7 linked regions of the Macaca mulatta genome follow. The protein of the gene in region 3 purifies or fractionates together with the protein of the main gene of each other region. This does not show direct contact. Links are inferred from orthologs where the notes say so. Each region holds a gene or a part of one and is shown on either strand. Other genes may lie near its edges. The genes, in order: YBX3, CNOT11, RC3H1, CNOT2, CNOT1, CNOT9 and NUFIP2.

Region 1 (3,500 bases), on a different chromosome or scaffold from region 3:
GTCTTCTGTGCAGGCAGGTTCTCAGCTTGCTGGAAAAATTTGTTGACATTTTCGTTTTGTAGTTGTTTCTTAAAGAATAACAGTAAACATTCCAATGTCCAAATCTTGCTTTGTCTTCCACTTTATTGCTTGAATGTTTCTTTGGTGTTGGTAAGGTTGTGGCCTGCTTTTTGCTTTATTTCTGAATGGTCACTAATTCTTTAGGTCACCTGGGAAAAATTAAAATCAAACTTACAAAGAATGACAAAGTAATCATGAGTAAAAGAATAAAAAGGCAGAAATTATCTGCTTTTCATATAATTAGAAAAAGAGTACTTCAAATGCTCTAAATACAAACACATCTTGTATAGATCTGTAAGCAATATGTTAATTAAATGGAAACTCTCGCTTTTTAATAAAGTATTTTTATAAACCAGAAGTCAGTACATAATAGCAAAAATTTTATAAAATTGTATAAATTAAAATTACCATTACTAATGAACAATACTCAAAATCATTTTAGTGGCTGCACCCTATCTCCTAATATGAAAATACCACAATTAGTTAGCTACTTACCAAATGTCAGACAGACTAAATTGTAAAAATATTTTTTCCTAATATTTAAAATTATTTCCTTAGAAACAATACCTAGAAATAATGTTACTCCATAAAAGGTTATGATCATTTTTATGATTAATATGCTACTCTAAATCAGTTAATTCCAAGTTTGAATAGGGAACTTATTTCTGTGACAGACTGTCCATGCTACCCAAGATAAAACAGAATATTGCCCTCATAGCAAATGCCTACCTAATCAAAGGCTGATTAAAATCCCACATCATTGGATATAAAAGCAGATGGCCTTAAGACACAAGAACTTATAATAATCCCAAAACTTCATTTATGAAATGTTAACAATTTTTGAAAAACAGCATTGACACCGAGTTTACAACCTCTCTCTTAACTAAAAGCTAATGGAAAGGGTGATAACCAAGAAGTATAAGAACTAAAGTCTCAGTTAAAAGGGTTATAGGAGGGAAAAAAAAAAGCCCAGAACTTATAATTGAGTTGATCTTTCTAGCTACAATCCTTTCTATGTAAATAAAATGTCCAAGATCTTTAAAAGACAGAAAAAAGTAGAAAATGACAAGAAAATAACAAGCTATCCTTTTATGAGAGGTTATTCTTTACCATACCCTATTGTAAACACTTCCTGTTATTTCACTTAATAATCCCTGCAACAACCCTAGTAAATATAATTAGTATCCTAATTCTTACCAGTAGCAGACAGTACTGAGACAGAGGATAAACTGCTCAAGATCACCCAGCAAATGAGAGGTGCAGTAGAGCCTGCATTGGATAGAAAAACCTTGGCTCTTATACATTATGCTGCACCGCCTCAAAATAAATAAAGTTGATTATCAAACGAAAAGGGAAGGAAAAAAAACCTTTAGTTTATTCTACTGTTTCTGATTACTTAACAGGTTCTGAAACTGTTTCTGATTACTAAAACCAGGCCTTTGTTAGCAACTTTCAGCATCAGTTTTCCTAAGTGGTACTGGCAGTTAAAAAACTGCCTGTCTAGAAAAAAGAAGTTGAGTATCATCAACTCCGTCTGAATGCTTATACCCTCACCAAAGCTTATCAAAATGAGGTCAATCCCAGAAATATTTAACCACCAAATCACTCTTGCCACAGAATCCCAACAGAGACAAAGAGTTGGCACAGATGAACTGCAGAACTAGTTTAGACTAATTTGTACTCTTGTTGAGAAACCAGTAATACTAAACAGAAAATACCAACTCAAGACTGGGCTGCCCCAGCGCTTACCCTGCCGATGGTGAAGGTGCCTGGGGAGCCTGGTGTTACTCAGCACTGCTCTGCTGGGTGGGTGGAGCGGGGTTCTCAGTTGGTGCTTCACCTGCCTTGGCCTAAAATGCAAAACAAAGCCATAAATCAGATAAAGTCACATGACAGTGGAAAGTTCAAGACTGAAAGTTCTTCAAAGTTTGAATTTTCCTGTAAAGGAAAATTAGCATGCAAAAAATTACTCTTATGTATGAGTCACAAATTAGTACCATATTCAGTCCCTGGCATTTCTACCAAAACAAAACAAAACCAAAACCCCACAAAAACAAAAAACAAAACAAAATTAGTACCATAGAAGAACAGCTTACAAACGGCAAACTAAATACCGCTACTCTCCATGAAGTCTGTGACATACAACTGCTTTCAACTCGTGTTTAGAGGCAGCTTCCTCTCGATTAATGCCTCTCTTATTTGAAGAGCCCTAAATGTATGAGCTCTGAATCCCCATTAGTATGGGTCATTCTTTCAGAGAATGTTAACTGGATTCAAATATTTGGTCTGTGTTATGTGCAAGGCACACCCTATATATACAGATCTTGAGCAAAATGTTTTTGTATTTGTTAAGTGTCAAGTTATCATGTGATAAAACCACTCTTAGAATGCTAGTTTGACATGATTAAAGACAATCCACCCTGACTGGTTGGATTGACCTCTTTGCCATCTTGTGAAGGAGCGTTAGGAAGACGCGGGCGACGCCGGTAATTGTAGGGACGCCGGTATCCACGGCGAATTGACGGCTGGTTTGGACCACTGGAGGCTTGCTGATTTTCTTTATCTTCAGCCTCTCCAACTGCTGGGGCAGGTCGTGGGCGAGGAGGTCCTCTGCTGGAGGGAACACAGGACAAAAGAGAACAAGTGCCAATAGAACAAAATAGAACAAGTGCCAATGGGACAGGGCTTCTCCAGAAAATAATGTTTTATTTATTTTTAAAAATTAAGAAGTCAAGTGATCAGGACCAGGCGTGGTGGCTCACCCCTGTAATCCCAGTACTTTAGGAGGTTGAGGCAGGCGGATCACTTGAGGTCAGGAGTTTGAGACCAGCCTGGCCAACGTGGTGAAACCCCATCTCTGCTAAAAATATAAAAATTAGCCAGGTGTGGTGGCATGTGCCTATAATCCCAGCTACTTGGGAGGCTGAGGCAAGAGAATTGCTTGAATCCATGAAGCAGAGGTTGCAGCAACCAGAGACTGTGGCACTGCACTGGAGCCTCGGCAACAGACGGAGACTCCATCTCAAAAAAACAAAATAAACAAAACAAACAAACAAAAAAAGTCAAGTGATCAGTACTTATTGCTAGAATTATTCACAGGCCAGTGCAGCAAAAGGAATCGAGGTTTCATGAAATAAAAAAAAAAAACAAAACAAACAAAAAAACACATTTTCCATCATTTTCCCCTTTCATTTGAATACCTATTTGCAGTGCACATACACATACTGAACACATACTCTGTTCCTATCAGACCCTTTGATAAGCACTAAGAATAGGAAAATTAAAAAAGAGAAGAAGAGTAGTCTGGCATCTGCCTTCCATGAACAGAATTTAGTAGAGACTAAGGGAATTAAACATGAAAAGAAACAATATTATGTGTCAGAGTCTGTGCTAGTCGGTTTTCAAATTAAATATTTAATTTGAATGGTAATTCTGTGGAT
Region 2 (4,271 bases), on a different chromosome or scaffold from region 3:
AGCTGTGTGAGCAATAAAAGTAGTGGAAAATTACAGTCAAAGCGGGTTGTTCTCTGGCCAGCAGGGGTGGGGGCCATAAGGTGCTCAGTGGGGGAGCTTCTGAGCCAGGAGAAGGGATTTCACAAGGTAATGTCATCAGTTAAGGCAGGAACCGGCCATTTTCACTTCTTTTGTGATTCTTCAGTTACTTCAGGCCATCTGGATGTATATGTGAAGGGTTGGGCTCAAAGGCCTGACAGGTACAGTGTACACTGCTCTGGTGACGGGTGCACGAAAATCTCGGAAATCACTACTCAAAACTTATCCATGTAACCAAAAACCACCTGTACCCCCAAAACTACTGAAATACAAGTTTTAAAAAGATGAAAAAAAAAATAAAATTTCTCCCCAAAAACACATAAAATAAAAATACGTTTTAAAAAAGAATTGAGATGGCGCTTAACTAGATAATTAAGAATCGCTGGTGGTAATCACTGGTGAAATACATGCACGTTTCTGTAGGTTTAGGGACGGGCAAGTCTGGGAAATGCCACCTGGTGGTTCTCAGCCCAGACTACACCTCAGCCTCACCTGAAGAGGCGGGGTTTATTAATACCTGACTCATCTCTGGGGGTGGGACCAGGTATTTGCAACGCCTCCCCGTGGGTTTCTAATGCACCGCTAAGTGCCCAGGATAAGCACCCTAGGGCAGTCTAAGGAAAACGTGGCACAGCAAACAATTTTGTACATGAATATTAACTGGAGACATGTTCTTGAAATCGTGTTAAGAGGGAAAAAACCATGTACAAAAAAGCTCATAGCGCAGTACGATTCCATTTCTGCAATAAAAGAGTGTAAGACTAGAAATTAACCGTGGTTACGAGAAATGCGTGGCATCTTTTTCATTTACTATATTAAAAAAAATGTTTGAGACAGAGCGCCCAGACTGGAGTGCAGTGGTGATGACAGCTCACTGCAGCCTGGGACTCCCAGGCTCCAGCGACCCTCTCGCCTAGGACACTCAAAGCGCTGGGACTACAGGCACGCGCCACCGCGCCCCGCCGGCCTTTACAATATTTTTACGACGAATACTTATGGATGTTATGTTAAGAAAATAGTTAACATCCGAGGTGCGTTTTTGCAAGTAATAACGTAGATAGCATTTACTGGGACCGTCTGGCACCAGGCACTGTCCTAGGGACCGCCAAGGTGCGGCTTTCGCTTGCAGTTGCGCCGACGCACGCGGGCCCCGGGCGCTCCTGCCGGGGAACCTCAGCCGACCTAGCCCTGAAGGCCGCCAGCCCGACCTCTCACCGCGCCTCCCTTCCCGGGCCCCGCCCCCGCTTCCTGCCAATTCGCCCCGCCTACCCCGCGTCTCCGCATCCTCTTCCTGGCTTCGCTCCATCAGCCTCGCTTTCGCTGGGCGCTGTCCCTTTCCGCGGCGGTCTGGTTTCCCCGACGTGTTTTGTTTGCGACGCTGTCGTGTAACAGCGCGCTTTACGGCCGCGGGGACGGAGCGAGCCGGCGCCAGGGCCCCTCGGGCCGGGAAGAGGGGAAGGGGAGCGAGGTTGATGCCCGGCGGAGGGGCGAGCGCGGCGTCTTGCCGGCTTCTCACCGCCGCGGAGCAAAGAGTGTCCCGGGAAGCGGCAGGGTCGGCGTCCAGGAGCGGCTTCGGGGGCTCCGGCGGCGGCAGAGGCGGAGCAAGCGGCCCCGGGTCCGGGAGCGGAGGCCCTGGGGGCCCCGCAGGCAGGATGAGCTTGACCCCGAAGGAACTCTCGAGCCTGCTCAGCATCATATCGGAGGAGGCGGGCGGCGGCAGCACCTTCGAGGGCCTGTCCACCGCCTTCCATCACTACTTCAGCAAGGCCGACCACTTCCGCCTGGGTTCGGTGCTCGTCATGCTGCTCCAGCAGCCGGACCTGCTGCCCAGCGCGGCGCAGCGTCTCACGGCGCTCTACCTGCTCTGGGAGATGTACCGCACCGAGCCGCTGGCCGCAAACCCCTTCGCCGCCAGCTTCGCGCACCTGCTCAACCCCGCGCCGCCCGCCCGCGGCGGTCAGGAGCCCGACCGCCCTCCGCTCTCAGGTACCTGCTGAAGCCAGCTGTGCCGTGTGGAATGCGTTAGATTCCGCAGCTTTCCACCCGCGCTGCTGGGAGCTCACCTGAAAGGGAAATTAACTATCCGTGTGAACTGATAATCCTCTTTTTCCGCCTCCCTTTGCGTTCCCACGCCCCTCACTCCCTCCCCGCCTTAACTCTAAAGAATGGAGAGGTGGTAGCTTAATTGCAAGTTCGTGACACCGAAAATAATTTCTCTATACACCCCATCACATCATAGAGCTCAGTGTAGGTCTTGACATGTTTAGTGTCTCAAATACGGTTCGTTCTTCGAAAGCCCGTCTGTGGTGTGTGAAGTTAAAACCAACGATAAGACTAGATCTGTCCCCGGTTTTTAGTCTCAAAGGAGTACGTAGAAGTCAGTACTAAGAAGCTGAAGAAGTTGTGGGCGGAAATACACGTGAAACACCATTAAAGACTTTGCAGCCGCCTGCCTTAGCCTGTTAGGGATGGGGGCAGAGGATAGAAAGTCTCAAATTGATGATCTCGCGATTGGAAACGCATGACTTACTGGACATTATGTAAAGTGCATTCATGGTATAAATTATGTAAAATATATTTACCATTGTGTGGCATTGGTGAGATCAAACTAGTAGGTTGGATGCGAGGCTACATTTTTTTGTTTTTAAGCTCAAACAGGGGATGCTTTATGTGGATTTGCTTTGGGAGAAGACTTGCAGTCAGAAAACAAAAATGGCGTGGTGACAAGGGACCTGAAGGATTTAGGGACCAGTGTAGTGGAGGAAGCACATAGCTAGAGATAGGTAACAGCTTGATCTTACATTCCTTAACCAGCACAGGTAGGGCCTGCTATACAGTGAGTCAAGGCTAAGGCAGCAGATTTTGAGGTGACACCAGGAGTTTGTTTTTATGGTACAGGAGGGCCGCATTTCTAGTTAGCGTTCCTGCCTGGCACCCCGTCAGGATCTCTGATTGGTGTCCTGTAGTGCCCTTATCTAAGAAGGGCAACCTTTTGTATTGGCTGAGATGCCGTTAGGGTACAGGTACTTAACCTGCTTTTAAGAAGCTTGTGACTGCCCAGAAAGTGAATGTAACACAGGTTTGTGGTCAAAACCCACCACCTAGGCCTGGCGAGGTGGCTCACGCCTATAATATCAGCGCTTCTGGAGGCCGAAGTGGTGGAGGTTGGGGGTTGGGAATTGCTTGAGGCCAGGAGTTTGAAACCATGCTGGGCAACATAGTAAGACCCTGTCTACAAAAAATAAAAAATAAAAATTGTTGGGCATGGGTGGCTCACACCTGTAGTCCCAGCTGCTCAGGAGTTTGAGGCAGAAGGATCACTTCAGCCTAGGAGTTTGAGGCTGCAGTGAGTTAGGGTGACAGCGAGACCCTGCTTCTAAACACACACACACACACACACAAAGAGACAACCACCACCCTGGGGTGCTGGTATTAGAGGATTGGGACACTATGGGATTTAGGTCAGAGGGCCCTTTGAATTCTGAAGAACAAGTGAGGCAAGGGAACTGTGACTTATTAATGTCATTCTCATATACAGTGAATCTAAACCCACACCTAGTCCGTAGACTGCATTGTACACACAGATTTGCCATGGGTGGGATGGCAGTTGCCAGAGAAAGAATCCATGGATGGATTATATTTAACCGTTTTGTGCCTCAGATTCCTCATCTGTAAAATGCAAATAGTAACAATTGCCAGCTGGTAGAGTTGTTACAAAGAATAAAAGTACCTGTGAGTGTTACCCACTATTATTACCATTATTAAAGTAGGTAGGGATGGTGTGTAGGTAACATAGAAAAATATCAGTGCCAACACCCCACTCCCAGAGCTGCTGCTGTTTTCTGTTTAGGGTAAGACATTTAGTGGGTATGTCTTCAGAATGCTTTTCAGATGACTCTGAACTGAGGCAGGACTGCGATTGTGTAATGCTGGGTAGTACAGAGGAAGGAAGGACCACCCATGGAGCCAGAGAGATTCTCGGAAGGAGTGATACTTTTGCTGGATATTGATTAGGGATGCAGGTGCGAGGGCAGGAGTGACTCTGCCAGGTATTACTAAAGAACTGGGTGTAAAGCCGTGTGCGGTGGCTCATGCCTGCAATCCTAGCACTTCGGGAGGCCGAGGCAGGCAGATCACTTGAGGCCAGGAGTTCAAAACCAGCCTGGCCAACATGATGAAACCCCATCTCTACC
Region 3 (4,251 bases):
TTTTTAATATTACTAAGAAAATATAAATCTAATTCTTAAGCTCTGGTCCCAAAACTTCTTAGAAGTAAATTTTTATTACTTGAGAAAATCTGAACTTAAGTAATAAGTATTGACACTGAAGACGGGACAATTGAGGGATCACATCTTAAAACTGTTTTGACATAAAATGAATAAAAACAATTCCCTAAATTTTTTCCTATTAAACAAATAAGGACCCAGACTAAGCCCATAAATTGCTGGGTCAATAACCAATCTCAAATACAAAACCTTACCACTTAAAAATACTTATTTTCAGGAAAATGATAATAAATATGAGGTAAATCTGCCCTTGACATAACACGGTGAGATTTTTTTTCATAACACAGTACATGAACCACTTAAAACTTACAAGCTATCAATTACTACAATTGTTCTAATAGGTTTAGGGCCAAACATAAATTTAACTATCATTATAACATGGACTTGGAATCTGTGCTGACCTAACAAAATTTAGCACAGAAAAAAAAAATCACAGATCTGAGCATCTGAAAAACGGTGTCTTTTCTGAAATGTTTGCAAAAAAGTCACAACATCAGGAGCCACAGAAAGTTGTTCTTTCTCCGTCACTCAAAAAATCAAAACATCTCCAACATTATTTATGCTAGGCATAAAATGAAAGTCAGTATTGATATTCACTCACTATACTTCAAATCCTAACCAAGATAATTCAACCTCTATGTTTATTCAATTGCTAGTCTATTCAGTATCAATTGTTGTGGAAGAACTAAGAGGTAGACTAGTGCTGCTTACTAGACTTCATGTAACCTGAAAATGTTTTTAATTATAACAGACTTAGACCAATTCTACTTAGAAATGTACCCTTAAAAGAGGTGAAAGACATTAACTGGCATCTTTTCAGCACAGGTCAGTCTTCCTTAAGAACACAACCTATAACCCTTAGGCCTTACAGTTGAATGTTAACAAGTGAAAAGCAATTTCCTTGGATGTATCCAAGCAATTTTAATATAAATTTCTGCATACCTAGGTAGAAAGTACTTTAGAAATAACTTAAATCTACCTTTTCCCTCACTTGTAAGAAAATGTGGTAGAAGCCTTGAAAAATTAAGTTTAAGGCTCAGGCCTGTAATCCCAGCAATTTAGGAGGCTGAGGCGGGCAGATGACTTGAGGTCAGGAGTTCCAGACCAGCCCGGCCAACATGGTGAAAACCCCGTCTCTACTAAAAATACAAAAATCAGCCAGGCGTGGTGGCGGGCGCCTGTAATCCCACCTACTCCGGAGGGTGAGGCAGGGGAATCGCTTGAATCCGGGAGATGGAGGCTGCAGTGAGCCGAGATTGCGCCACACACTCCAGCCTGGGTGACAAGGCAAGACTCCGTCTCAAAAACAAAACAAAACAAAACAAGAACAAACAAAAATGAAATCAAATTTCTAACTCAGAGAAAAGACTGGTCTTGAACAATTTAGGGACAAATTACTGAAACAGGAGACAAGGCACAAGAAGCTCTATGGCTGGAGATGAACCACCTCTGTGTCTCCTTTAGAAGTGCTTCCTGAGGTCCACTTTACGCTAGTTAATGTTGCTTCTTATACTGCATGTTAGTAATTTAAAACGCCTAGCTGGAATAAAAGTTCTCTTTAAACATTACAATTTGTCTCCGCGTTGAAAGTTAAGTGTTTGTCTCCAGTTTCATGGGCTATTCTGATATGTCAAGAGTAGTATTATTACTGTTCCAAAAGAGCTCTTGTTTCAATTCACTTTCAACTGGGGCGCGGGCATAACTGATGTTTACAGAACTGATGCTTAGAGATGTTTAGAGAGGCGCATCCCTTACCATTCCATCCTTTATCGATAACCATATTTTGTATGTTTTTGTTGCATTTCAGTTTTTTTTTTTTTAAGACACCTGCACACACACAATTTTCCCACCGCCAGGAGGGAGAAGACCACAGGCTAGGTCTCCAGGGGCTTCAGGGAAACAGACACCGTGAACCCCGCTTGGCCAAAGAGGGGGAGCGCTTCAGGGGCTGGGGGAGGGAGCAGCCCTAAGGTGCTGGGAGTCAGAGGCGGCGCCTGTTTACAGACGCCTTCGCCCTCCCCCACCCCCACAGAGGAGGGGTCCAAAAAGCAGTTCCCGTGCGCACTCCCCGACTGGCCCAGGCCCTGGCAGCACCAGAGGAGCCAGGCAGCCCTTTCGCCCCCTCCCTCTAGTCCAAGCCTCCCTTCGCCCTCCTCTCGGCCTACCTACCCCTACAGGCCCTCCAGGCGGCATGCAGAGGCCTGAGGCCTAAAGGACGCCGGCCACTGACAAGCCCCAGAGCAGCCGGCGGGGGCCCTGAGGAGCCTGGGGCCGGCCGGGCGGCCGCTGCGGCGGGGAGCAGAGGGCGGGCGAGGACAAATCCTTCCCGACCACAGCTGCCTATTGTTCCCGACGGAGGCCCCGGCCGCGGCAGCCCCGCTCCCCAAGTCGCCGCCCGCCGCTCGCTCACCGCGCTGGTCCGAGCAGCAGCTCCTCTCAGCTCCGAGTCCCCGCGGCCGTCGCCACCGCCGCGGCAGCCGCCGCCGCCGCCGCTGCCACCGTTGACTCTGATTCTGTCCCAGGCCGCCGGGCCACGGCTGCCGCCGCCACCGCCAGCACCGCCTCCGGCCTCCCACCTGCTGCTGCTGAGGCTGCTCCTGCAGCAGGGGCCATCTTGTTGGTCTGCCTCCTCTTCCTCCTCCTCGTCCTCCGCCGCCCAGTCGCTCGTTGTCCTCGTCCCCTTCCTCTTCCTCAGGCTCCGGCCCGCCCCGGAGACTGGGGCGGAGACGAGGGCGAGGATCCTCCCTCAGAAGGCGGGGCGGGCGGAGGGGCGGGGCGGGCGCGGGAGCAAAGCTCTGAGTCACCGGCCACCAACGCCCGGGAGGGAGGCCGGCGACGCTCTCCGCCGCGACCCAAAGTCTCACACTCCCTGAGCCGAGGAACCGGTCCCTCCGTCCGGCCTGCCCTCCCGCACCGGCGCCTTTGGGCTCAGCGGGCCAGTGGCCAGATGGCGAGAGTAAATTGGAGGAATTTCTGTCGTTTCCATCGAACCCCGCAATACGTCTACTCTTTTGGCTTTCTCAGCCGTTGTCCCCCAACTCTGGTTTCTTTTTCACGTCTTGTCCCCCACCCCATTTGTCTTCTTCCATATTATCTAGGTTCTGGATCTCATCAGCTTTGTCCTCGTCACCCCTCTTGGAGTTCAGCCTCCTAAGGCTGTGAAACAGCCCAAAGGCCCGGACACGCTACTCCAAAACGTCTCTCCTGGGCTGTGTGAACAATAAGAGCTATTTGGGGACGACAGGAAAAGATGTGGCTCGTCGAAGAGCTCCTGAAATCTAACCTTGCTACTCTTTAAAAGTTTCTTGTCCCTTGTGGAAAAGGTGCCGTTTTGGTTTTGGGGAATGAGAGGTCCCTTCAGACAATTCATTTTAGCCAAACCCTCTTTAGCTTTTGAGAGGGGGAAGAAATGGGATTATCGTAACACCATACAGTACTGATTTCAAAATAAATCATCTAGAAGAGAAGAGAGAGAGAGAGAGTCCCCAAATAAACAACCATTTAATACTCTCTACTCGGCAGCATCACCTTTTTTGCTTCAGGACTTGACCAAGAGAGCAGAGATTATGTTTTTCTGTCCTTTCTTCACTGTTTACATCACAGTACCCCAAGAGAAGCACTTCTGCCTTTAACTTGATACATTGGAATCGCTATCACAGATAGTATTTTTGTATTATTTTAAAGAAATATCACACACCTTCCTAAACTCTTGGCAGAGAAGAATTCTTTTTAGTTGTTAACACCCTCCTGCTCCTGAAATCTCAGCTTCTGTTTAGAAGACCTATTGATGTCTTTCTATTGATTGGAATTTGCTGCCTTTGAACTGGGTTTAATCTGTAATCGTCTTTTCAGCCTACTAAATAGTAACCCTAGTCCTACAGAGAGTGAATTTCTAGCTACCATAGGGGGATTTAGGTTAGCATGTGCCAATCTAAAGGGATCTCTTAAAGCCTTTCCCTCCTCAAACCAGGCCTCTGTACCCTGCTAGGAAAAACAGATTAATCTGCTCCTCCTGCTTTTCCTCCTCCTCCCTTCTTCTCACTCCTAGGGAACCTTCCACAACAGAAGGTTTTAGCGACTGTTGCTAGGCAAACATGCCAACTTCCTTGTTTAGGTGAAGCAAGTAACTCAACTTCCATTACAAGCAACCTAGATAATGTAATTTCTTCCCCC
Region 4 (3,500 bases), on a different chromosome or scaffold from region 3:
ATATGGCAAATTTAAATTCCATCTTGGAGGACCTAAAGATATGTATTAAAAGTTAATATATATTCAAAATGTATAATTAACTTATAATCAAAGAATTTGAGAAATTATAAATTGAAGCAGGATAGAAATTCTTAATTTCTATTGTCTTAATGATAATTTTTTAATTCGAAGTTCTTAAACTGCAGAAATAAATTTATAAACTGCAGTTTTTGTAAACAGCAGGTATGAATGATTTATCCTTTACCCTTGTAATTTGAAATTGTCACCTGTCTTTGAATGTTAATAAATTAATGGTGTCTGTTGGTTTTCTGTCAACGAAGTAATCTTGAGATAACATTTGCTGTTTGAGATTCTTACAATTGTGAAATTTGGAGAAAACTAAAAATTAATTGGGAAATGGCAAAATAAACTGAAAATGGTGAAACAAAAATTAAAGAAAAGCTATAGCGCAGGCTAAAAGAAAGGTAGAAAGTTTTCTTCAAAAATTAAGAACACAAGGTTATAAGAATACTAAAAAGTTAAGAAATTGAGATGATTAAAATAGACAAAGTAGAGAAGTTGGGTTAAATTTTAATTTTTAAAGGAAGCCAGCTGATTGTTTTAACTTAAAATGAACAAAAATACATTTAATTTATTCTATATATATTTATTGAGCGCCTACTGTGTAATAGGTAATATAAACTTCTGGGCTTTGTATCATATTTCTATATTTCCAACCCATTTACCATATATGGGAACCCTACTGCTACCCTTTTGTACCGCACCCGTGTGCACACACATTTGTATATGAACGCAGTCAATTACAGGTGGAAGTCCTCAGGGCTTCTGCGTCACTGCCTGTGTCTCAGCTATCTTTCTGGCCATTTGCAGGAGGCACTATCATTGTCACCATTTGTGTGTAACCGAAGCTTCAAGCATTCTAGATACAACCTCCATCTGAGCATAATGAAAAGACCAGTTATATCATAACAGTCTCCCTCTTGTTAGCTCACACGCTATAATTTTAGGTTACCATCTTCCACGGGGGAAATATATGCTTTTTCTTCTCTTTGTTATATCTCTAGGATTTGAGGTTTTTTATTATGCTGGTTGCGTATTGCTTTGCTAAATTGTTCATGAAATTCTTTGACATGAAATCAATCTGCAAGTATCTTTTGAGCAGCTACATACACCTTGTACAGTGCTGTGCATTATTTAGGAAGAAAGCACAATCATTTCTAATTATATTATAGTTGGTTTTTATAGTCTCTTAAAAATATTTGTAGAATCAGTAACCAGTGTTCGTTCTTATTATTTAGACGGAAGTGAAAATGTGACAGGATTGGACCTTTCAGATTTCCCAGCATTAGCAGACCGAAACAGAAGGGAAGGAAGTGGTAACCCAACTCCATTAATAAACCCCTTGGCTGGAAGAGCTCCTTATGGTAATTAAGCTTTTTAATGATGACCAGTGGGAAGTTTCCATTGTATGTGCACACACACATGCATTTACATGTACATATACATATGTTTGTGTATACGTATATGTTTGCATTTTCTAATCAGGTTAGTGTAATTTTTTCAGAATTGATATATTAAAAGTGATTTTTCTTCCCAGAATACCATGGTAGCAAAGTTAAATGGGAAAACTTTGTACAAAAACCCAAGAGGAAGTCCTCATTGGTATTCAGAAGTTATTTTCTTCTGTTATCCCTGCCTTAGTTTACCTTAGGTGATTTATTTTTGTGGTCTGCCTTTTCTCTCCTTAATTGATCACACATTTTTTCAAAAGAATATATTCCTGGTGATTAATAATGACTGACTATACATTGAAGATGTTTTTCTGAGCCAAGGTTTCTCAACCTCCACACTGTTGACATTTGGGCCAGGTAATTCTTTGTAGAGAGGAGATCTGGGGGGCTGTGGTGTTTATATAGAATGCTAAGCAACATTCCTGGCCTTGGCCTACAAGATGCCAGTAGCACTCTCTGTTTCCAACCCCCACAGCCTCTATTGTGACAGACACAAATGTTTTCAGACATTGGCAGATGTCACCTGGGGAAAAAAAATTGTCCCCTGTTGAAAACCATTGCTCATGGGTCATGTATAGCTTATGCAGACTCTTGGTCTCCATTAATATCCTTCATCACCCTTTTTCACTGTCTGTAATAGATAAGAGATTTGGCTAATCAGGGATAAACAGAAATAAAGGAGGGGAAACATATGCAATAACAGTGTAACAATTTGGGCATGAAAATTCTGTGACAGCAATGTGGCTATACTGTTTTTATCACATAGTTTTTTTCTTTTGGGAAAACCTGATAGAGACCAGTAACAAAACGGTGAATTTAAAAGAATCAGTTCATCCATTATTTTAAGATAGAATTAATATTTGATCACATTTTCAACCAAGAAAGATTTCTGTGCCATTCAGATATGAATACAAATAACAGTATATGAAGAAGGGAAAAATGTATTGTTTATATTCTAAAGTTTCCAAATTAGTCTCCCCAAAATTAAAAGAAAAAATGATCTGCCCTGGAAGTTGAGTACCTAGCTACTTGATTCTCAGTTCAGACTCTAATGTTTTTAACCTTTCCTCATAGGTCCATTTTTTCATCCCTTTAATCATTCCCGTTGCTCTCCTTGGACCATCTCTAGTTTCTCCATATCGTTCTTGAATTGTGGAGCCCCAAACTGGATATTGTTCTCCAATAAGGGCCCGACTAATGCCAAGTATAGTGGGAGGATTATTTCCCAGTTCTTGCATGTTTTACATCTATAACATGGAGTCCAAGAAAATCTGAAATAATATGGAGTTGTTTTATAATTGATTGCAATTTGCTCACTCTGTAAGTCGCTTTCAAGTAGAATACTGACATATTCTTTTAAATTTTATTTTGTTCATTTGTATTTGACAGTTAACTGGTATTTATATCTAGTCAAATATTTAAATAAAACAAGCTTTTAAACCAAAATTGTTAATAATTAATCCAATATCAAATTAAATTTTTAAGCACCTACTACGCATGACAGTAGATGTACAGGATTACTATTGATTTCCCTTGTATTATTTTGTATGTTGAGTTATTAATCAGTAAATGAAAATTTAGTTCTTCATTGTTACCCTGGATACTAATTTTTTGAAGTACGCTTTCATAGCATTAAAAAAAAGAAAACTTTTGGTGTATTATCATGAGGAAAGTTAACTTTATAATCTCTAGCAAAATATCATAAGTATCAATTGCAATTCTCCGGATTATTTTCATTACATAGTTGGAATGGTAACAAAACCAGCAAATGAACAATCCCAGGACTTCTCAATACACAATGAAGATTTTCCAGCATTACCAGGCTCCAGCTATAAAGATCCAACATCAAGTAATGATGACAGTAAATCTGTAAGTAACTGAGAACTATGTGAGTGAGTGATGTAGTTTTTCCCTTCAGATTTCTCTTATATTAACAGTTACTTACTAAATACTGTTACAAAACTGTTTTATCTTGATATCTGTAATAAT
Region 5 (3,500 bases), on a different chromosome or scaffold from region 3:
CAGTTTTAACAAGTAATGTTAGTAAGTCTGCACATTCATCCCTAAAGATATTAGGAGACTACTAAATGCACAGGGATCTCAAAGTGTTTAATCCTCACCCTTCTGGAGCATTGCCTCTGGAATGAGCGTTAATCCTCATGAGGGTTTCAATGGTGTGGAACAGATCTGCCTCAGTAACATGAGCAACACTCCTTTCATCCACCAGCAGGATTTTTACCAATTGCATAGCGAATGCCACAGCCATGTAGTTTAAGCCATTCTCCATTGACTGGCAACACAGAAAACACAACGTAAGAGGGAAAACACTTAAGAGCAAACATACGGCCGGGCGCGGTGGCTCAAGCCTGTAATCCCAGCACTTTGGGAGGCCGAGGCGGGTGGATCACGAGGTCAGGAGATCGAGACTATCCTGGCTAACATGGTGAAACCCCGTCTCTACTAAAAATACAAAAAACTAGCAGGGCGTGGTGGCGGGCGCCTGTAGTCCCAGCTACTTGGGAGGCTGAGGCGGGAGAATGGCGTGAACCCAGGAGATGGAGCTTGCAGTGAGCCGAGATCAGGCCACTGCACTCCAGCCTGGGAGACACAGCAAGACTCCGTCTCAAAAAAAAAAAAAAAAAAAAAAAAAGAGCAAACATACTTCCCTGAGTCCTTTTGTCCTTGCAAGTAAATTCCTTCCATACCTGCGCTAGGTGAAGATCATACTGCTGCATATTAACCAAATGATTACGAATTAGCAGCTCCACAGCCTCCACATTATATTTATATTCATCCCGACATTCAATTAGGCACCTAGAAAAAATTCAGTATCTTTACTCATATAGGCTTAACCATACTGTATGTGCCCATTGTACTCAATGGAAATGTGCTCCAAATTAAGAATGCCTTGAGATTCAACTGTAAATCAGTGTCCAAATTGAAAAACAGCCAGTAATGAAATAGAACAGATAGCCCAGGCTTTGCTTTCAAAACCTAGGATACAGAGGATTCCATTTAAGACATTAAAATACTTATACATGAATACCACTTCTGAGAAATCACTGAAACCTTTTAAAACAATGACCTACAATTTATTGCCCAAAATAAGGTACTAGTTTTCTATATCCAACATGGGGAGAAGGTAGAGACCAGATGGAAAACAACTACTTAACAATTCTCACCTCTCAGAAGTAGGAAGTCCAAGTGTCCCATCTACCTACTAGAAAAAAGGGAAACCCCTGGACATAAACAGTACTATCTATGTCAAAAGGCAGTCGCGATCCAATACTCACTACTTTTCGAAGATGGCTACTGACCTTGTGATCTGTTTGTTGCACCATGGGGACCCATATGCCCGGCCATCCTGCAGAGCTTTTAGTACCAAGAGGTGGCATTCCCTGTAGCGCAGCAGCAGGTCAGCATCAGCACCACTTGTGGCATCTAGTAAGCCCTCTACAGCCTATAGGAGAAAGAAAGTGTTCAGACCCATGGAAAATATGGTGCTTGGCCCAACTATCATAGCCAGAAACCAAATCTCAATGCCAAGTACCAAATACCTTCCAAAGCCTCCCTGTCCTTTCCACTCTCCAAACATCCCCTTCAGTTGCCTATCACACACACTCTAAATTCTATCTGGTTTAAGTTCATTCTGTGCTCTTCATTGTCATAAAAGGCTTTGCTGTAGTTAAAACCCAGGGCTCCCTACCTACCCTGATCCAAATTCTTGGATCAACTTGTCCCTCAAAATCTAAAGGGCAGCTGGGCTCAGTGGCTCATGCCTATAATGCCAATGCTTTGGGAGGCTCAGGAGGGAAGGCCACTTGAGCCCAGGAGATTGAGAACAACCTGGGCAACAAAGCAAGACCCGTCTCTACAAAAAAAATTAAAAATTAACTTGGCTTGGCAGTGCGCACCTGTAATCCCAGCTACTCGAGACAGTAAAGTGGGAGGCTCACTTGAGTCCATGATCACGTCACTGCACTCAAGCCTGGGTGACAGAGAGAGACCCTGTCTCTTAAACACACACACACACACACACATACACACAACTGAAGGGCTTTTAAAGTTTCTTCAAATCATATCTCAGGAATATCTTTAAGAAAAAAATAAAGATTTCCAATTTTACCATTCAAAACTTCTATGACTACATTCTACATTGGGAAAAAAAAATCACCTACTTATAGAACTTGATTTATATTATGAAATCTTAAGCTTAACTGTATAAATATGTAGATGGTGGCGGAGGTCAATAAATGTTTACACACCTAGCATTTTCTAAAAGTAATAGCTTAAGAACCAACCTTTTGGAGCAATCCAAGAGCAGCTATGGCATCCCGAGAGTTTCGAGATAAAACTACAACCTCCAAGAGACTTCGAAGAGCCTGAGCTTGAGGGTTCATGGCCAAAGTTGGTGGGATGGCATGTAGATGCTGTTCCAGTTCTGTAATACACTTATCATAAATCTGAGCTACATCATCTGTTGCCCAAGCTTGCTGTTTTAGAGAAGGAAACAACCAACAAGAGACAAAAGAATGTTAAGGTTTTTTATTGACACATGTATCAAATAGAGGTCTATTAGTATGTTTACTCCCTTTTTCTTATTTTTACATTCAAACATGGAGGGCCTCTTCTTTTCCTTCTTCCTGAGCTATTCAGAATTAATACTATCAAGTGGGGCAGTACAAGGTGGCACAAAGGAAGAGGTGTTTCATTTGAGAGAGGAAAACCTGGCAGACAGCAGCATAATCAAGTGATAAAAGAGAGCATTAGTAATAATGGGACAGACTGAGGGCAGCACCACTTGCACCATCTACTAAGCCCTCTACATCCTAAGAAAGTGTTTCAAACCATGAAAAGTATAGTACTCAGTCCAGCTGTCAAAGCCTGATAGGACAGAATAAGAATACAGCATTACTTCTGAGCTATTCCTATTTTTTAAAATGCATTATCTGAATCTAGCCATGAGAATACACTGGACAAATAAATCAAGCCATTTAGAAAATAATTAGCCTGGCCGGGCGCGGTGGCTCAAGCCTGTAATCCCAGCACTTTGGGAGGCCGAGACGGGCGGATCACAAGGTCAGGAGATCGAGACCATCCTGGCTAACATGGCGAAACCCCGTCTCTACTAAAAAATGCAAAAAACGGTGGCTCAAGCCTGTAATCCCAGCACTTTGGGAGGCCGAGACGGGTGGATCACGAGGTCAGGAGATCGAGACCATCCTGGTTAACACGGTGAAACCCCGTCTCTACTAAAAAATACAAAAAACTAGCCGGGCAAGGTGGCGGGCGCCTGTAGTCCCAGCTACTCGGGAGGCTGAGGCAGGAGAATGGCGTGAACCCGGGAGGCGGAGCTTGCAGTGAGCCGAGATCCGGCCACTGTACTCCAGCCTGGGCGGCAGAGCGAGACTCCGTCTCAAAAAAAAAAAAAAAAGCAAAAAAAGCAAAAAAAACTAGCCGGGCGGGTTGGCGGGCGCCTGTAGTCCCAGCTACTCGGGAGGCTGAGGTAGGAGAATGGCGTA
Region 6 (3,500 bases), on a different chromosome or scaffold from region 3:
GAATCTATAGATCACTTTGTGGAGAACGAACAACTTAACAATACTGAATCACTGATACACCAATCAATGAACATGGTTTATCTCTGCATTTTATTTCATTAGAAATCAGTTTTGTAGTTTTCAGTTATAGATCATGAATATATTTTAAAAGATTTATACCCAAATTTTCACGTTTTGGTGCTGTTATAAATGGTAGTTTAAAAAAATTTCAGCTGGGTGCAATGGCTCACAACTGTAATCCCAGCACTTTGGGAGGCCAAGGCAGGAGAACCATTTGAGCCCAGAAGTTTGAGACAAGCCTGGGCAACAAAGTGAGACCTTGTCTCTACAAAAAAATAAGAAAATGTAGCCAGGTGTGGTGCCATGTGCCTATGGTCCCAGTTTCTCAAGGCTGAGGTGGGAGGATTTGTGTGATTCCAGGAGTTTGAGGGTGCAGTGAGCCATGATCATGCCACTGCACTCAAAAGTGAGGCCGGGCGCGGTGGCTCAAGCCTGTAATCCCAGCACTTTGGGAGGCCGAGACGGGTGGATCACGAGGTCAGGAGATCAAGACCATCCTAGCTAACACGGTGAAACCCCGTCTCTACTAAAAAAAAAAAAAACACACAAAAACTAGCCGGGTGTGGTGGCGGGCGCCTGTAGTCCCAGCTACTCTGGAGGCTGAGGCAGGAGAATGGCTTAAACCCGGGAGGCGGAGCTTGCAGTGAGCTGAGATCTGGCCACTGCACTCCAGCTGGGGCGACAGAGCGAGACTCCATCTCAAAAAAAAAAAAAAAAAAAAAAAAAAAAAAAAAAAGGGGGTGACAGAGCAAGACCTTGTCTCAAAAAAAAAAAAAAAAAATCAATTTCCTATTGTTCATTGCTAGTATATAGAAATTTAATTTTAATTTTTATTTTTGAGACAGAGTCTCCCACTGCCACCCAGGCTGGAGCGCAGTGGCGCAGTCTTGGCTCACTGCAATCACTGCATCTCTACCTCCCAGGTTCAAGCAATTCTCCTGCCTCAGCCTCCCCAGCAGCTGGGACTATAGGCACATGCCACCATGCCCGGCTAATTTTTGCCTTTTTAAATTCTTTTTCAGTAGAGATGGGGTTTCACCATGTGGGCCAGGCTGGTCTTGAACTCCTGACCTCAAGTGATCTACCCGCCTCGGCCTCCTGAAATGCTGGGATTACAGGTATGAGCCACCATGCCCGGACTTGATTGATTTTTTATATGCTGACTTTGTATCCTGCAACCTTGCTAAACTTACTAGCTTTAGTTTTAGTAGTTTTTTTGTAGATTATTTGGGATTGTCTATGAAATAATATTGTCTGTGAGTAGCTAGTACTGTTTTTTCTTTCTAATTTGAAGGCTCTTTATTAAATGGGAGTAGTGAGAATGAACATCCTTGCTTTGTACTTGATCTTAGGAAAAAAGTATTCAGTTTTTCAACATTAACTAAAATTTTTTCATGCTCAAGTTAATGTTTTTATATACATTTACTACGGGAGATAAGGGTAAACATTTTTTACTTAAGAAAATAATGTATCAGCTATTTCAGCTCTCAGACTCCTGGGTAGCAAAGAACTATCTCTGGGCTTATGAAATGTTAATCCATTCAAGCATTTTTTTTGTTTTGTTTTCTTCCTTTCTCAATGCTTTTTTCTTAAAATTATAAACCACAATCAGGAAATACAATTTAAAACTTTGGCATGTAAGGAGTAACAATTGTCTCATATACTCAACGTAATCCGAGCCTAAAGAAAACATTTATATCCTTAACTCATAAATGTATCATCTAAGTAGGATGATATAAGTTAGGGTTAAGGATATAAATGTTTTCTCAGTCAGTCTGGTTAGAGCTTTATCAATTTTACTGACTTTTCCCCAAAGACTCAGCTTGTCTGGTTTTATTAACAGTCTAATGCTGGTCTCACAAAGAGTTGAGAAATGTTCCCTCCTTTCTATGTTCTGGAAAAGTTTTGTAGAATTGGTTTATTTCTTCTTTATGTATTTGGTAAAATTTACTAGTGAAGACAGGTGAGCCATTTTTATGTTAGAAGGTTTGCAACTACAAAAACAATGTATTTCATAGATATAAAACTATTCAGCTTACCTGTTTTTTCTTGAGTGCAATTTGGCAAATAGCATCTTTCAAAGAATGTTTTCATTTCATCTAAGTTGTGAAATTTATGAGTATGGAGTTGTAAGCAGTATTCCCTTACTTTCCTTTTAATGTCTGAAGAGTCTGAGATCTGAAATTGCTGATATATTATTTTAAGTAAAAAGTATTTTATCCATACCCCCACAGTAAATGTATTTATACATTAACTTGAGCATGAAAAAATTTAACTAGGTGAACTGACAGATTCATATTCCTGGAGTTATGGGAGAATTACAGGTTTTCAGAATGCTTAGTGTATTTGACATGCACATTCTTAGGGCGTTTCAGATATACGAAGCATTCTGGTATTAGAAGTAAGAAAAACAAACAAAAAAAGACAGGGGTGTGTGCCTGTGCCCATGGTCCCTATTACTTGGGAGGCTGAGGCAGGAGGATCACTTGAGCCTAGGAGTTCAAGTCCAGCCTGGGTAACACAGCAAGACCCTATCAGGAAGAGAGGACAGGAGAGGGAGAGGGCGAGGGCGAGGGTGAGGGCGAGGGCGAGGGTGAGGGCGAGGGTGAGGTCAAGTCCCAAATGTAAACTCTTATTCCTTTAATAATACTCTTTATATACTGAATCGAGTTCTTATGCTTTACTCTCCCTGCAATTCCAGCAAATGTTTCTACATATATGCTGAATTTAATACCAAAGGTTAGATCTCAAAGCCTTATTAACAACACTTAGAAGTGTGCCTGATAGGAGTCATCATGTTCCTGATACTTACTGATTAGTGAATGAGACAATGTCAAAGAGAAAAATGAATGACTGGTGTACAAAAATCATGAGCGGCAAGACAAAACACCCAACTTAGACTACTACTGTGAGTATTTCAGGCTTGCAAAACAATTCTAATAACTTACCAATAACTCCAAGGCTGGTGAGCCGAAGATACTCAAAGGGACGTGTTTTGCTGACAGTGTGCAAAAAGGGGTACAAAAAAAGTGGGATGTGTGCTGCGAGAAACGCTGACCTGGAAGAAAACAATAATTACATTCACAGCCCAGGGTTGATTTCTAAGGATCCTGAACTTTCAAATTTCTAGGTGGTTAATTCTGTAAGGCCTTAACATTGTCAGAGCAAGGAATCCTTAGGAAACAATGTTACTGGTCATTAGTTTCAATCAATGGTTCTCAAATGGGGTAAATTTTCCCCCCATGTGGCAATGTCTGAAGACATTTTTGATTGTCACAACTCAGGATTATAGAGCACTGTTGGCATCCAGTGGGCAGAGGCCAGAGATGCCATTAAACATCCTACAATGCACAGGACAGTCCTCTCCTGCCCTCTCCTTCCCACCACAAAGATTCATCCAGCCCCAAATGTTAATGGTGCAAAAGTTGAAAACCCTAGTC
Region 7 (3,500 bases), on a different chromosome or scaffold from region 3:
AAAGAAAATTTTATAACAGCCTTGTGAGAGTGATGGGTAGATTGATTTTGTTAGATGAGAGGTATTTGGCATACTGCTTAAGAGGTCTTTTTTTCTGGCCTCAGACTTTGCTTTGAATTTTGGCTCAGTTCTACCTCTTGCTTTGCTTAGCAGTAGATTGCATTTCCTAGTCTGTGAAATGGGGCTGACAAGTGTCTTCTCATACAGATGTGAAATAATATAAAGCTACAGTTCATAGCATAGTGTCTAGCATACAGTAAATAAACATTTCTTAAATGTTAGGTATTAGTGTAATTTACATGTTGTGATTTTTTTTTTTTTAATAAACCGTTTTTTTCCCTCCCCTAGGCTATGGTGAACTAAACGGTAATGCTGGAGAAAGAGAAATCTCTTTAAAGAACCTGAGTTCTGATGAAGCCACCAACCCTATTTCCAGGGTCCTCAATGGCAACCAGCAAATTGTAGACACTAGCCTGAAGCAGACTGTAAAGGCCAACACCTTTGGGAAAGCAGGAATTAAAACCAAGAATTACATTCAGAAAAACAGTATGGACAAAAAGAATGGAAAGTCTTATGAAAATAAATCTGGAGAGAACCAGTCTGTAGATAAGTCTGATACTATACCAATTCCAAATGGTGTGGTAACAAATAATTCTGGCTATATTACTAATGGTTATATGGGTAAAGGAGCAGATAATGATGGTAGTGGATCTGAGAGTGGATATACAACTCCTAAAAAAAGGAAAGCTAGGCGCAATAGTGCTAAGGGTTGTGAAAACCTTAATATAGTACAGGACAAAATAATGCAACAAGAGACCACTGTCCCAACCTTAAAACAGGGACTTGAAACTTTCAAGCCTGACTATAGTGAACAAAAGGGAAATCGAGTAGATGGTTCGAAGCCCATTTGGAAGTATGAAACTGGGCCTGGAGGAACAAGTCGAGGAAAACCTGCTGTGGGTGATATGCTTCGGAAAAGCTCAGATAGTAAACCTGGTGTGAGCAGCAAAAAGTTTGATGATCGGCCCAAAGGAAAGCATGCTTCAGCTGTTGCCTCCAAAGAGGACTCATGGACCCTATTTAAACCACCCCCAGTTTTTCCAGTGGACAATAGCAGTGCTAAAATAGTTCCTAAAATAAGTTATGCAAGCAAAGTTAAGGAAAACCTCAACAAAACTATACAAAACTCTTCTGTGTCACCAACTTCATCTTCATCATCATCATCATCTACTGGGGAAACTCAGACCCAATCATCAAGTCGCTTGTCCCAGGTCCCTATGTCAGCGCTGAAATCTGTTACTTCTGCCAACTTTTCTAATGGGCCTGTTTTAGCAGGAACTGATGCAAATGTTTATCCTCCAGGGGGTCAGCCACTGCTAACTACTGCTGCTAATACTCTAACACCCGTCTCTTCTGGGACAGATTCAGTTCTCCAGGACATGAGTCTAACTTCAGCAGCTGTTGAACAAATTAAGACTAGCCTTTTTATCTATCCTTCAAATATGCAAACTATGCTGTTGAGCACAGCACAAGTGGATCTGCCCTCTCAGACAGATCAGCAAAACCTGGGGGATATCTTCCAGAATCAGTGGGGTTTATCATTTATAAATGAGCCCAGTGCTGGCCCTGAGACTGTTATTGGGAAGTCATCAGAGCATAAAGTGATGGAGGTGACATTTCAAGGAGAATATCCTGCCACTTTGGTTTCACAGGGTGCTGAAATAATTCCCTCAGGAACTGAGCATCCTGTGTTTCCCAAGGCTTATGAGCTGGAGAAACGGACTAGTCCTCAAGTTCTGGGTAGCATTCTAAAATCTGGGACTACTAGTGAGAGTGGAGCCTTATCCTTGGAACCCAGTCATATAGGTGACCTGCAGAAAGCAGACACCAGTAGTCAAGGTGCTTTAGTGTTTCTCTCAAAGGACTACGAGATAGAAAATCAAAATCCTCTGGCCTCTCCTACGAACACTTTGTTAGGCTCTGCCAAAGAACAGAGATACCAGAGAGGCCTAGAAAGGAATGATAGCTGGGGTTCATTTGACCTGAGGGCTGCTATTGTATATCACACTAAAGGTAACTCATTTGTTTCCTATGCAAAGATTTTTATTGGCCAATTTAGTATATTAAGAATTTTAAGAGAATTAGTTGTTCATATTAAGAGTATTTTAAGAGAATGACAATGTGGATAAGCAACTAACATCAAACTGATTCAGGGTCTTTGGAACTAGTATGATTAAAACTTAGAAGAAATGTTCACTTTTCCAACTTAAAATGGTTTTTAAAAATACAAACATAATTGATCTACCTGGTTCAAAGAAGTGAGGAGAACTTGCTTAAAGGTGTTGATGTTATATTTTCTTTTGACCGAGTGCTTTAAAAAAAATTTTATTGAACATATGTTCTCTTTCCTTTGCTTTTTTGTTTCTCCTTTGCTTTTTGTTTGTTTTTTCTTTGAGAGGGAGTCTCACTCTGTTGCCAGGCTGGAGTGCAGTGGTGTAATCCCGGCTCACTGCAACCTCCACCTCCCAGGTTCAAGCGATTCTCCTTCCTCAGCCTCCTGAGTCGCTGAGATTACAGGCACGTGCCACCACGCCCGGCTAGTTTTTGTATTTTTAGTAGAGATGGGGTTTCACCGTGTTGGCAGGATGGTCTCAATCTCTTGACCTTGTGATCCACCTGCCTTGGCCTCCCAAAGTGCTGGGATTACAGGTGTGAGCCACCGCGCCCAGCTTCTTGTTTGTTTTTGAGACGGAGTCTCTCTTGCCCAGGCTGGAGTGCAGTGGTGGGATCTTGGCTCACCGCAGCCTCTGCCTCCTGGGTTCAAGTGATTTTCCTGCCTCAGCCTCCCGAGTAGCTGGGATTACAGCCATGTGCCACCATGCCCAGCTTATTTTTGTATTTTTAGGAGAGACTGGTTTCACCATGGTGGCCAGGCTGGTCTCAAACTCCTGACCTCGTGATCTGCCTCCCTCTGCTTCCCAAAGTGCTGGGATTACAGGTGTGAGCCACTGCGCCCAGCTTCTCCTTTGCTTTTTGTATCATATGCTTCTTTATTAGTGAGCTCATTTAGTAGTTCTAATTTGCTTAAAATGAGTAGAAGCACTATTTTTGAAGAGGAGTCTGATAAGTCTTAAAAGGAGTAATGGATGCCAATTTGTAACTAGAAAATAAGTTAGACAAATTACAATGTCAAGCATGATAAGCATAATCAAGACCAGGCTCTTGGGAGTCTCCTTTCTATAGCCCCAAAGCCCAAGTTTAAAGGGAACGAGATATCTTTCAAGTTTCACGCTAGTAACTCTCTTTCTTTTCTTTTTTTTTTTTTTTTTTGAGATGGAGTCTCGCTCTTGTCTCCCAGGCTGGAGTTCGGTGGCGTGATCTTGACTCACTGCAACCTCTGCCTCCCGGGTTCAAGCGATTCTCCTGCCTCAGCCTCGCACATAGCTGGGATTACAGGCGCCCACCATCACGCCTGGCTAATTTTTGTATTTTTAGTACAC

Evidence for each region.
Region 1: the proteins of RC3H1 (region 3) and YBX3 purify together in Homo sapiens (affinity purification with mass spectrometry, with the first as the bait; 3 studies listed by BioGRID). This does not show direct contact. The link is inferred for Macaca mulatta from reciprocal best matches to the Homo sapiens genes RC3H1 and YBX3.
Region 2: the proteins of RC3H1 (region 3) and CNOT11 purify together in Homo sapiens (affinity purification with mass spectrometry, with the first as the bait; 4 studies listed by BioGRID). This does not show direct contact. The link is inferred for Macaca mulatta from reciprocal best matches to the Homo sapiens genes RC3H1 and CNOT11.
Region 4: the proteins of RC3H1 (region 3) and CNOT2 purify together in Homo sapiens (affinity purification with mass spectrometry, with the first as the bait; 3 studies listed by BioGRID). This does not show direct contact. The link is inferred for Macaca mulatta from reciprocal best matches to the Homo sapiens genes RC3H1 and CNOT2.
Region 5: the proteins of RC3H1 (region 3) and CNOT1 purify together in Homo sapiens (affinity purification with mass spectrometry; 5 studies listed by BioGRID, with this or other methods). This does not show direct contact. The link is inferred for Macaca mulatta from reciprocal best matches to the Homo sapiens genes RC3H1 and CNOT1.
Region 6: the proteins of RC3H1 (region 3) and CNOT9 purify together in Homo sapiens (affinity purification with mass spectrometry, with the first as the bait; 4 studies listed by BioGRID). This does not show direct contact. The link is inferred for Macaca mulatta from reciprocal best matches to the Homo sapiens genes RC3H1 and CNOT9.
Region 7: the proteins of RC3H1 (region 3) and NUFIP2 purify together in Homo sapiens (affinity purification with mass spectrometry; 3 studies listed by BioGRID, with this or other methods). This does not show direct contact. The link is inferred for Macaca mulatta from reciprocal best matches to the Homo sapiens genes RC3H1 and NUFIP2.

What each region holds. Positions count from the first base shown.
Region 1 is NC_133416.1:9,905,425-9,908,924, reverse strand, and holds part of YBX3 (Y-box-binding protein 3), read right to left. Parts: intron 2,674-3,500; coding exon 2,499-2,673; intron 1,911-2,498; coding exon 1,845-1,910; 3' UTR 1,810-1,844; intron 210-1,809; 3' UTR 1-209. UniProt on the Homo sapiens protein: Binds to the GM-CSF promoter. Seems to act as a repressor. Also binds to full-length mRNA and to short RNA sequences containing the consensus site 5'-UCCAUCA-3'. May have a role in translation repression.
Region 2 is NC_133418.1:9,406,742-9,411,012, forward strand, and holds the start of CNOT11 (CCR4-NOT transcription complex subunit 11), read left to right. Parts: upstream 1-1,471; 5' UTR 1,472-1,550; coding exon 1,551-2,064; intron 2,065-4,271. UniProt on the Homo sapiens protein: Component of the CCR4-NOT complex which is one of the major cellular mRNA deadenylases and is linked to various cellular processes including bulk mRNA degradation, miRNA-mediated repression, translational repression during translational initiation and general transcription regulation.
Region 3 is NC_133406.1:31,511,238-31,515,488, forward strand, and holds the start of RC3H1 (roquin-1), read right to left. Parts: upstream 2,801-4,251; 5' UTR 2,489-2,800; intron 1-2,488. UniProt on the Homo sapiens protein: Post-transcriptional repressor of mRNAs containing a conserved stem loop motif, called constitutive decay element (CDE), which is often located in the 3'-UTR, as in HMGXB3, ICOS, IER3, NFKBID, NFKBIZ, PPP1R10, TNF, TNFRSF4 and in many more mRNAs.
Region 4 is NC_133416.1:77,411,588-77,415,087, forward strand, and holds part of CNOT2 (CCR4-NOT transcription complex subunit 2), read left to right. Parts: intron 1-1,298; coding exon 1,299-1,424; intron 1,425-3,255; coding exon 3,256-3,380; intron 3,381-3,500. UniProt on the Homo sapiens protein: Component of the CCR4-NOT complex which is one of the major cellular mRNA deadenylases and is linked to various cellular processes including bulk mRNA degradation, miRNA-mediated repression, translational repression during translational initiation and general transcription regulation.
Region 5 is NC_133425.1:54,150,435-54,153,934, forward strand, and holds part of CNOT1 (CCR4-NOT transcription complex subunit 1), read right to left. Parts: intron 2,472-3,500; coding exon 2,280-2,471; intron 1,439-2,279; coding exon 1,296-1,438; intron 793-1,295; coding exon 684-792; intron 269-683; coding exon 99-268; intron 1-98.
Region 6 is NC_133417.1:123,823,905-123,827,404, reverse strand, and holds part of CNOT9 (CCR4-NOT transcription complex subunit 9), read right to left. Parts: intron 3,119-3,500; coding exon 3,009-3,118; intron 1-3,008. UniProt on the Homo sapiens protein: Component of the CCR4-NOT complex which is one of the major cellular mRNA deadenylases and is linked to various cellular processes including bulk mRNA degradation, miRNA-mediated repression, translational repression during translational initiation and general transcription regulation.
Region 7 is NC_133421.1:38,007,612-38,011,111, reverse strand, and holds part of NUFIP2 (FMR1-interacting protein NUFIP2), read left to right. Parts: intron 1-348; coding exon 349-2,073; exon of another isoform or gene 2,074-2,753; intron 2,754-3,500. UniProt on the Homo sapiens protein: Binds RNA.